Linked DNA regions of Canis lupus familiaris. The protein of the gene in region 2 binds, or shares a complex with, the protein of the main gene of each other region. Links are inferred from orthologs where the notes say so. Each region holds a gene or a part of one and is shown on either strand. Other genes may lie near its edges.

What was found.
Region 1: PRPF8 (region 2) and LSM7 share a complex: the UniProt entries of both Homo sapiens proteins name them as parts of the U4/U6-U5 tri-snRNP complex. The link is inferred for Canis lupus familiaris from reciprocal best matches to the Homo sapiens genes PRPF8 and LSM7.

Annotation. Positions count from the first base shown.
Region 1 is NC_049241.1:57,200,281-57,204,357, forward strand, and holds the start of LSM7 (U6 snRNA-associated Sm-like protein LSm7), read left to right. Parts: upstream 1-1,243; 5' UTR 1,244-1,253; coding exon 1,254-1,259; intron 1,260-1,342; coding exon 1,343-1,433; intron 1,434-4,077. Other genes in the region: SPPL2B (signal peptide peptidase-like 2B), read right to left, coding at 1,038-1,097. UniProt on the Homo sapiens protein: Plays a role in pre-mRNA splicing as component of the U4/U6-U5 tri-snRNP complex that is involved in spliceosome assembly, and as component of the precatalytic spliceosome (spliceosome B complex).
Region 2 is NC_049230.1:45,759,908-45,763,551, reverse strand, and holds part of PRPF8 (pre-mRNA-processing-splicing factor 8), read left to right. Parts: intron 1-87; coding exon 88-234; intron 235-437; coding exon 438-648; intron 649-861; coding exon 862-978; intron 979-3,644. UniProt on the Homo sapiens protein: Plays a role in pre-mRNA splicing as core component of precatalytic, catalytic and postcatalytic spliceosomal complexes, both of the predominant U2-type spliceosome and the minor U12-type spliceosome.

The sequences.
Region 1 (4,077 bases), on a different chromosome or scaffold from region 2:
GGGGTGGGGGCAGGGAAGAACTAGGAAGGATGACCAGGGGCATTCCGGGGAAACGGGGAAGACCAGACGGAGGCGGAGCGCCTTCAGCAAACTAGGAACAGGAGGGGAAGCGTCCCAAGCCGCCCAACCACAGAGGCCTCCCACACGCGCTGGAAGCCGAGGGGCGGCTCTCATCTGGATGCAACCAGACCTGACACACTTTCAGAGACATCCCTCCTGCTGTGCCGCCCATGGACTGGGGGGTGTGTGAGACGCAAGTGGCCACCGGAGGCTACAGGAGAGAGATGGGGACCTGCGGCGGGCAGCTCAAGGTTAATGGGACACCACTCCCTGAGCTGCATCACCCAGGGAACCGGGGAGGGAGGACCTGCAAATACAAAGTGCGCTTAGGAGGATGTCCACCCCCCGGCTGGCAGCAGGCCCCCCGCTGGCCCGGAGACCTCTGACCCCAGCTGCCCGAGGAGGAGCACGCTGCAGCTGTCACCCCATGAGCATCACCGCCGAGTCCTCACTGACGTCTTCCTTTTGCAGATGAGCAACTGACGCCCGAAGCTGGGGCCTCCCTTGCCCAAGGTCACGCAACAGAACACGGGGCGGCGGTTGGACCCCACTCGGGACGCGGGCTCTCGGCCGCTCCCTGTGGGGAACCGGGGGCCACGCCGGACGGCTTACCGCAACCACGCGGGTGGGCGCTAACCTCGCGCGGAAGGGGAAACTGAGGCTGGGGGCCAGGCGGGGGGCGTCCCCGGCGGCGGCCGGGGGCCTCGGGACGGAGCAGGGCCTGGGGAGCCGGGGGGCCTCCCGGACTTCAGACCCAGGCGCAACTGGGCGACGCTGCGGCTGGGGAGGGCTCCGGGGGGGGCCGGCCCGCAAGGTCACGGCCCGGCTCCCGGCCCGCGGGCCACCGCGCGGGGGGCGAGCAGACCCGAGGCTGGCCCCCAGGCCAGGCCGGGCGGGGCTCCCGCGGGGCGCGGGGCCCGGGGCGGAGGGACCGGGCGCCGCAGCCGGCGGGGCCGGCGGGGCCGACGCAGCCTCACCTGGGTCGCGAGGAGCAGGAAGGCCGCCGCGAGCCGCGCCAGCGCCGCCGCCGCCGCCATGTCAGCCGGGTCGAGCCGCAGGCGTCGGCAGATGTTTCCCAGCAACGCCCCGGCGCGCCCCGCCGCGCCTGCGCCGTGTGCGCTCCGCGCCTGCGCACGGGGGCGGGGTCAAAGGGCGCGCGGCGGCGCCTGCGCAGAGCGGCGCGCGGCGGCAAGATGGCGGTGAGCGCGCGGCGGGGCCGGCTGGGCGGGCGGCGTGGGACCCGGCCGCGCTCTGCGCCTCACGCGCTCTGCTTCCCCCGCAGGACAAAGAGAAGAAGAAAAAAGAGAGCATCTTGGACTTGTCGAAGTACATCGACAAGACGATTCGGGTGAAGTTTCAGGGAGGCCGCGAAGGTGAGAGCCCCCCGCCGCCCGCCGCCCGCCCCGCCGCCCGCTCCCCGTCGACGGCTCCGGGAGGCGAGCAGGGTGGCGGATGCCCGGGCGCAGGCCGGAGCGCTTTGCTGGGAGGACTCGCGACGGCCTCCGTCCGACGCCGTGCACGCGGGGAAACTGAGGCACGGGAGGAGCTGCAGACACCCCGAAGCGGCCGAGGCGCAGGCGGGGTCCTCGCTCCGAGGCAGCCGCCCCCGCTGGTCCCCGCTGGTCACTGACCCCCGCCCCGGCTCCTTGGGCTCCGCACTCGTGACCCTGACGCCAGCCAGATTGTTCGGGGCTGTCGGGGCGCTGGGGGGAGGGGAGCAGCCAACCCCCGGATGCCGCCAGATGCCAGGACATGCCTTAGCTTGGGCACCCCAACCAGGCATCTCCCTTGCCGAGCCGCGGCCCGGTGTCAAGGATGGTCCAGAGGGGCCTGTTAAACACAGGTGGGCCCTCCTCTGGGCCGCCCGGTCCCTCCCGGGGAAGGGGCAGCCTTGCGGAGCTCTCAGCTGCCACCAGGCTGTGACGTGCACCCGCCTGCTGGGCTCTTACCAGGCTTAAAACACAAGGCTTCTCTGGGTGAATGAATTTCAAAGATCTCGGGAGCTTTCTCCCACTATTCACGAGCCAGGGAGCACCCCACCTAGGAGACGGCGCAGAGCCCCAGAGGGTTTCGTAGGCAGAGGGTGCAGGAGCAGACGCTGGATCGCTTCCGGCAGGGTCCCCCTCCTCTGGGGGATGCTGGGGGTTCTTTCAGGAAGACTAGCTCGGGAGGGCTGACCTGGAAGTTCCAGGCTGACTGGTGGAGATTGCATTCCTGGGAGAGCTGCAGGTGCGGCCAGGTTAGGTATGAGGCCGCGGTGGGGTGGCCGGGGCTTGGCACGAGTGACGCCGTTGGGAGTCTCTCTTTCTAACTCCAGGTTAACTCCACAGTCATTTTTCTGCTCTCAGCTCAGGATTCTTGTTCCAGGAAGCCTTCCCTGATCCTCCACCCTGGGCCCCACGCCTTTGGTGTCAGCTCCTGGTACCGTCTGTCACCGTTCCCCGCTTTACGCAGTAAACACGACACCGACCTCTGCATCTTTCCCCTGGAATAGTGAGGAGGGCAGGAGCTGGGCCCAGTGTTGCTGGTGCGTGTAGGCAGTGTGGCCTCTGGGGTCCTAGCACCAGGCAGCTGGAGTCAGAGCCACAGCTCTTTGGCGCACTGGCTGTGGGACTTCGGGCAGCTCACCCCGCCCCCCAGGGCTCCATTTCTTCACTCCCCCCACCTCACCGGGCGGTGGTGAGGATCACAGGGTTGGAGGCACCTTCGATGTGGTTTCTGACACAAGCAAGCACTTGAGCAACATTTCATTTCTTCAGCTGCCTCTTTGCTTTCGTTGTGTTTCATGAGACAGTGACCCAGATCCTTTCTCCCGGAGATGTGGACGATTGGGTAGCATCGGCGTGGTTAACAGCGCGGTGCCTGCAAGTCTAGGTAGCCAGCAGTGGTGAGAACTTGAACCCGAACAGATGTTTGCTCTGTCTGCGCCGTGCTGGCTCTGGGACCCGTGAAGGAGACACAGCTCTCGTTTCTCAGGGTGCTCATATGGGTTTTCTACGCTGTGTAGCAAGTTGCCACCACGTTAGCAGCTTACGCAACATGAATTTATTATCTTGTGGTGTTTGTCAGGAGGAGTCTGGGTGCCTTGGGCTCAGGGGCTCAGGTTGCACTAAAGGAGTGTCTCAGACGCCCTGTTGGTTGTGGGCAGGGTTTGGTCCCCTGCGAGGGTCCTACCCCTGTAGGACCAGGGTCCCCGAGCTCTGCTACAGGTGTCCTAGAGGCTGCCCGCCGGCCCTGGCCACAGCACTGTCCACAGCATGGCAGTTTGCTCCCTCAAGGCCAGTGGGAAGATCCCTCTCATGCTTTGAATTTTTTGACACAGTTCCTGTTCCCCTGAGCTCATCTGATTAGGTCAGGCCGGCCGAGCAGAATCTCTTTAGGTGAGCTGAGAGGGCACTGATTCTGGGACCGTAATCACACGTGCCCGTTCCTTCGTCTTTATCCTCCTGTAACCTAATGGCAGGAGTGGCATCCCGTCCTATTCACAGGTTCCCTCCCACACTTGAGGGGAGGGGTTCCACTGGGTGGTCACCGGGGTCAGCCCCATTTTAGAACTCTGCTCGTGCCCCACGGAGGAGGGCAGACCCGCAGGTGCGGCCACAGTGCCCGCTGCCCATAAGCTCGTCGGGGAAGTGTCCTCGGGACCTTTGTCTTGCGGGCGGAGGGGAGGTCAGTCGGGGAGAGAGGAAGGCACAGAGCCAGGCGATCTCGGTCACGGCTGGAGGCGTGAAGGCGCCCTGAGCCGGTGAAGCTGCTCACAGGAGCGCAGCAGGCCGGGTTGGGCCCCCACGCCGTGGTGCGCAGAGCTGTCGGTCCCGTCCAGCCCCGTACTCCCCGCAGACACTACAGCAGCGCGGTGGAGCGTGGTGGGGGCACCCCTGCTTCGCCAGCTGTGCCTGGGCCGGGAGGCCTGAAGGCCGGAGGGGCAGGGCTTTGGGGCGCGTCCCTCTGGCCGTGTAGGCGCCGCTCCTCTGCGCATGCGCGCCACTGCTGGTTTCCGTATGGCTCGTGAGCTGA
Region 2 (3,644 bases):
GTTGGAGGTGGGCTTTATCTATGGAGTTGTAGGTCTTGTGAGTTCCCAGTTTATTTGGATCTCAGCAATGCATCTTGCTTGGTGTAGGTTCACAGCAGATGAGGCTCGGGACTTGATCCAGCGTTACCTGACAGAGCATCCTGACCCGAACAATGAAAATATCGTTGGCTATAATAACAAGAAGTGCTGGCCCCGAGATGCGCGCATGCGCCTCATGAAACATGATGTCAACTTGTGAGTCTTAAATGGGGGCTGTAGGAAGCTGTGGGAGCTGGAAGGTTACCAGCCTGAGGGACGCAGAGCATAGAGGGGATTTATGAAGTTGTGTCCTGGGCGGGAGGAGCATACTCTCCTAGGGTATTGTGAGTCTGGCAGTCTGAGGGAAGTTCCCTTCAAGTCCCGGGAGACTGAAGTGACCATATGTTCTCTGTGAGCAGGGGTCGGGCAGTGTTCTGGGACATCAAGAACCGTCTGCCACGGTCAGTGACTACAGTTCAGTGGGAGAACAGTTTCGTGTCTGTGTACAGTAAGGATAACCCCAACCTGCTGTTCAACATGTGTGGCTTTGAGTGCCGCATCCTACCTAAATGCCGCACCAGCTATGAGGAATTCACCCACAAGGATGGGGTGTGGAACCTGCAGAATGAGGTACAGTCTGGGAAGGGGGCTAGGAGCAGCAGTATCATCCCTGTTCCTCTGGGGTACATGGGGGTGAGGACACCATCATAACTTTTCATTATCAGTTAATTTGAGCCTTATTGAATAGGTAGAGTTTAGTTTGGGGTGGGGGGGGGTGTCAGAGTTGGTCCTTGCTTCTGTGGCAGTATCAGACATAAATTTCACCTTGACCATGTGGTTTAGGTTACTAAAGAGCGGACAGCTCAGTGTTTCCTGCGTGTGGATGATGAGTCAATGCAGCGCTTCCACAACCGTGTGCGTCAAATTCTGATGGCCTCTGGCTCTACTACCTTCACCAAGGTATATAAGGCAGTCAACCCCAACCTCCCTCATGTCTTCTATCTCCTATGCCTTTCAGCTCTTCTCTTGATTTGCTCTTGTTTTTTCCCAGGCTTGCTCAGTGTACTAGTTTCCATACCTTATGGTATAGAAGCTTATAACGTCAAAACAGTTCAGGTACTTTCTGAGAATACTCTGTAGGGAATGTGCAGTGTAGTTCTATGTAATTGTGGTGATTCTAAGGTAAGAATAGAAGTTGAATTTTTAACCTGAACAAAAGTTTTCAGTTTTTGCATTTTCCCAGAGTTTATTATTTATTTATATAGCTCATCTTTGACCAATAACACTGTGCATATTAAAAAGCAAGTATGACTAGCTATCTCAGTGATTATTTTTCCCTTCAGTTACTTCCAAAGGCCCAGCTGAAGGCAACTGGAATTGAGAAAGAATAATCTGGGGATTTGTTAACTGTATACTTAAGTGTCTGCAAGGTTTAAAAAGTCACCTTACTCTTCCTGCTGTCTTTCCATGCTTCCATAGTGGTGCATATAATGTCTTGGCTGACGCTTTCAAGTGTCTCAGTAATGCAAAAAGAGAAGGAAATGCCAGGTTCTTATTAGGCTGTGCCCCAAACAATGCTTGTGTTAAGGATACATTTTCTTTTTTTTTTTTTTTTTTTTAAGTTTTATGTTTTTAAGTAATCTCTACACCCAACATGCGGCTCAAACTTACAACCGCAAAATCAAGAATCACATGCTTTTCTGACGAGCCTTCCAGGTGCCCATTATCTTAGTATTTCTTACTTAAAATTTCTCACTTCCCGGGGGTGGAGAATGGTACAAGAGAAAAGTTTATCTTTTGGGGTTGGTTTATTCCCTCTAAGGATCAAATAAGAATTATATAATTCATTCATCCTATTGGTGTTTGTTGGTAAACTACTGTGTTCAAGGCTGTGCACATACTACGTGTAAGATAGAGTCTCTGCCTTTGTTGAGCTGGCCTAACCTAGGTGAAGAGACGGATCCATGGACAAGAACTAGGATGTAGTGTTCATAGAGGCTGTGGTATTTGGGAATCTATGAGGAGACTCAGGTTAATGACCCTAGCCCAGTCTGGGAGAGGGTGATGAAAGGCTTCCTGAAAAAAGTGAGGTGATGAGGCAGGTGAAGGCATTTCTTCAGCCCTGGAGAGGTAACTAGCATGATACAAAATTCACGGTTTTATTAGAGTACAGTTGTGGAGTTGGAACTGATAAGAGATGGAGATTGGATAGATGAGCTAGAGCCAGACAATGGAGGCCATTGCATGCCTTGTTAACAGTCCTGTGAGGGTGTTAGGTGTGCAAGTGACTTTTCCAGATTTCTTTTTTTTTTTTTAATTTAAAAAAAAATTTTTTTTTATTTATTTATGATAGTCACAGAGAGAGAGAGAGAGAGGCAGAGACACAGGCAGAGGGAGAAGCAGGCTCCATGCACTGGGAGCCCGATGTGGGATTCGATCCCGGGTCTCCAGGATCGCGCCCTGGGCCAAAGGCAGGCGCCAAACCGCTGTGCCACCCAGGGATCCCGACTTTTCCAGATTTCTGTTATATGATTCACTCTTGCAGCTGTGGAGAGGATGGATTTAGAGGAATCGGGTGGGAGATCAGGTTTGGGGACTTTTTTTTTTTTTTTTTTTTAAGATTTTCTTCATTTATTCATGAGAGACAGAGAGGCAGAGACATAGGCATCCCAGGTTTGGGGACTTCTGAAGTCCCAATGACAGTGGTGGGAGCAGTGAGACAGGAGCAGATTTGATAAGTAGTTAGGTAAAATCAGCAAAGCCTCATTTTGGTGGGAAAGGGAAAGAACAGTTTCTGGCGTGGCTGACTAGCTGGGTATTGGCACTACCAACTGGAAGAGTACAGGAGGAAGAGCAGGTTTAGGAGAGAAGGTAAATGGATTTAGTGTAGGATGTAACAAGGTTAAGGTTCCTGAGAACATCCAGATGGAGGTGTTTGGCAGGCATTTATTATATCCTATTTTTTTTTATTCCATGATAAATATGGGGGGGGGTGTATGTGTGTGTGTCCCCTTAGTAATGTTTCTTAAATTCGTGGTCTCTTAGATTTGCTGAAAAATACTTCGAGCTTGAAGCTTTTGAGGGAGAAATGAAATGAGAAAGTGAGAGCAGTCAGGGGTAACTTCGAGGCTCCTATAGGATGATCAAGTGGAGCTTGGCGTCTGAAGCTTGGAGAAGATACCTGGTTTGAAGATGTAGGTGTAGCAGTCTGTCAGCGTGGAGGTGGTTTAAAGCTCCAGAGTGAAAAAAAAAAAAAAAAAAAAAGCTCCAGAGTGAGCAAGATTACCCAGGTCAAGTGTAAGGAATGAGAAGAGCAGAGGGATGAATTTGGAACCATACGAAACAGCAGCATGGCCAGGCTGGGAGAGTGCCGGGTTCTCAAAGCCAAGGACGTCAGGAATTGGGGTGGGCATTTAACAGTGTCAGTTGCCTAAGAGTGTTTTAGTTAGATAAGGCCTGAAAGGTATCCATTGGATTTGGCAGTCAGGACGTCATTAGTGACCTTAGCAAGAGCTGTTTCAGAAATAGTGGGGATAGAAGCCAGATTGCAGTGGGTGAGGCTTTATGGGAAGTGAGAGAGTGGAGACAGCAAGGACTGGCAACTTGCCAGAGCTGGAGTAAGAGGA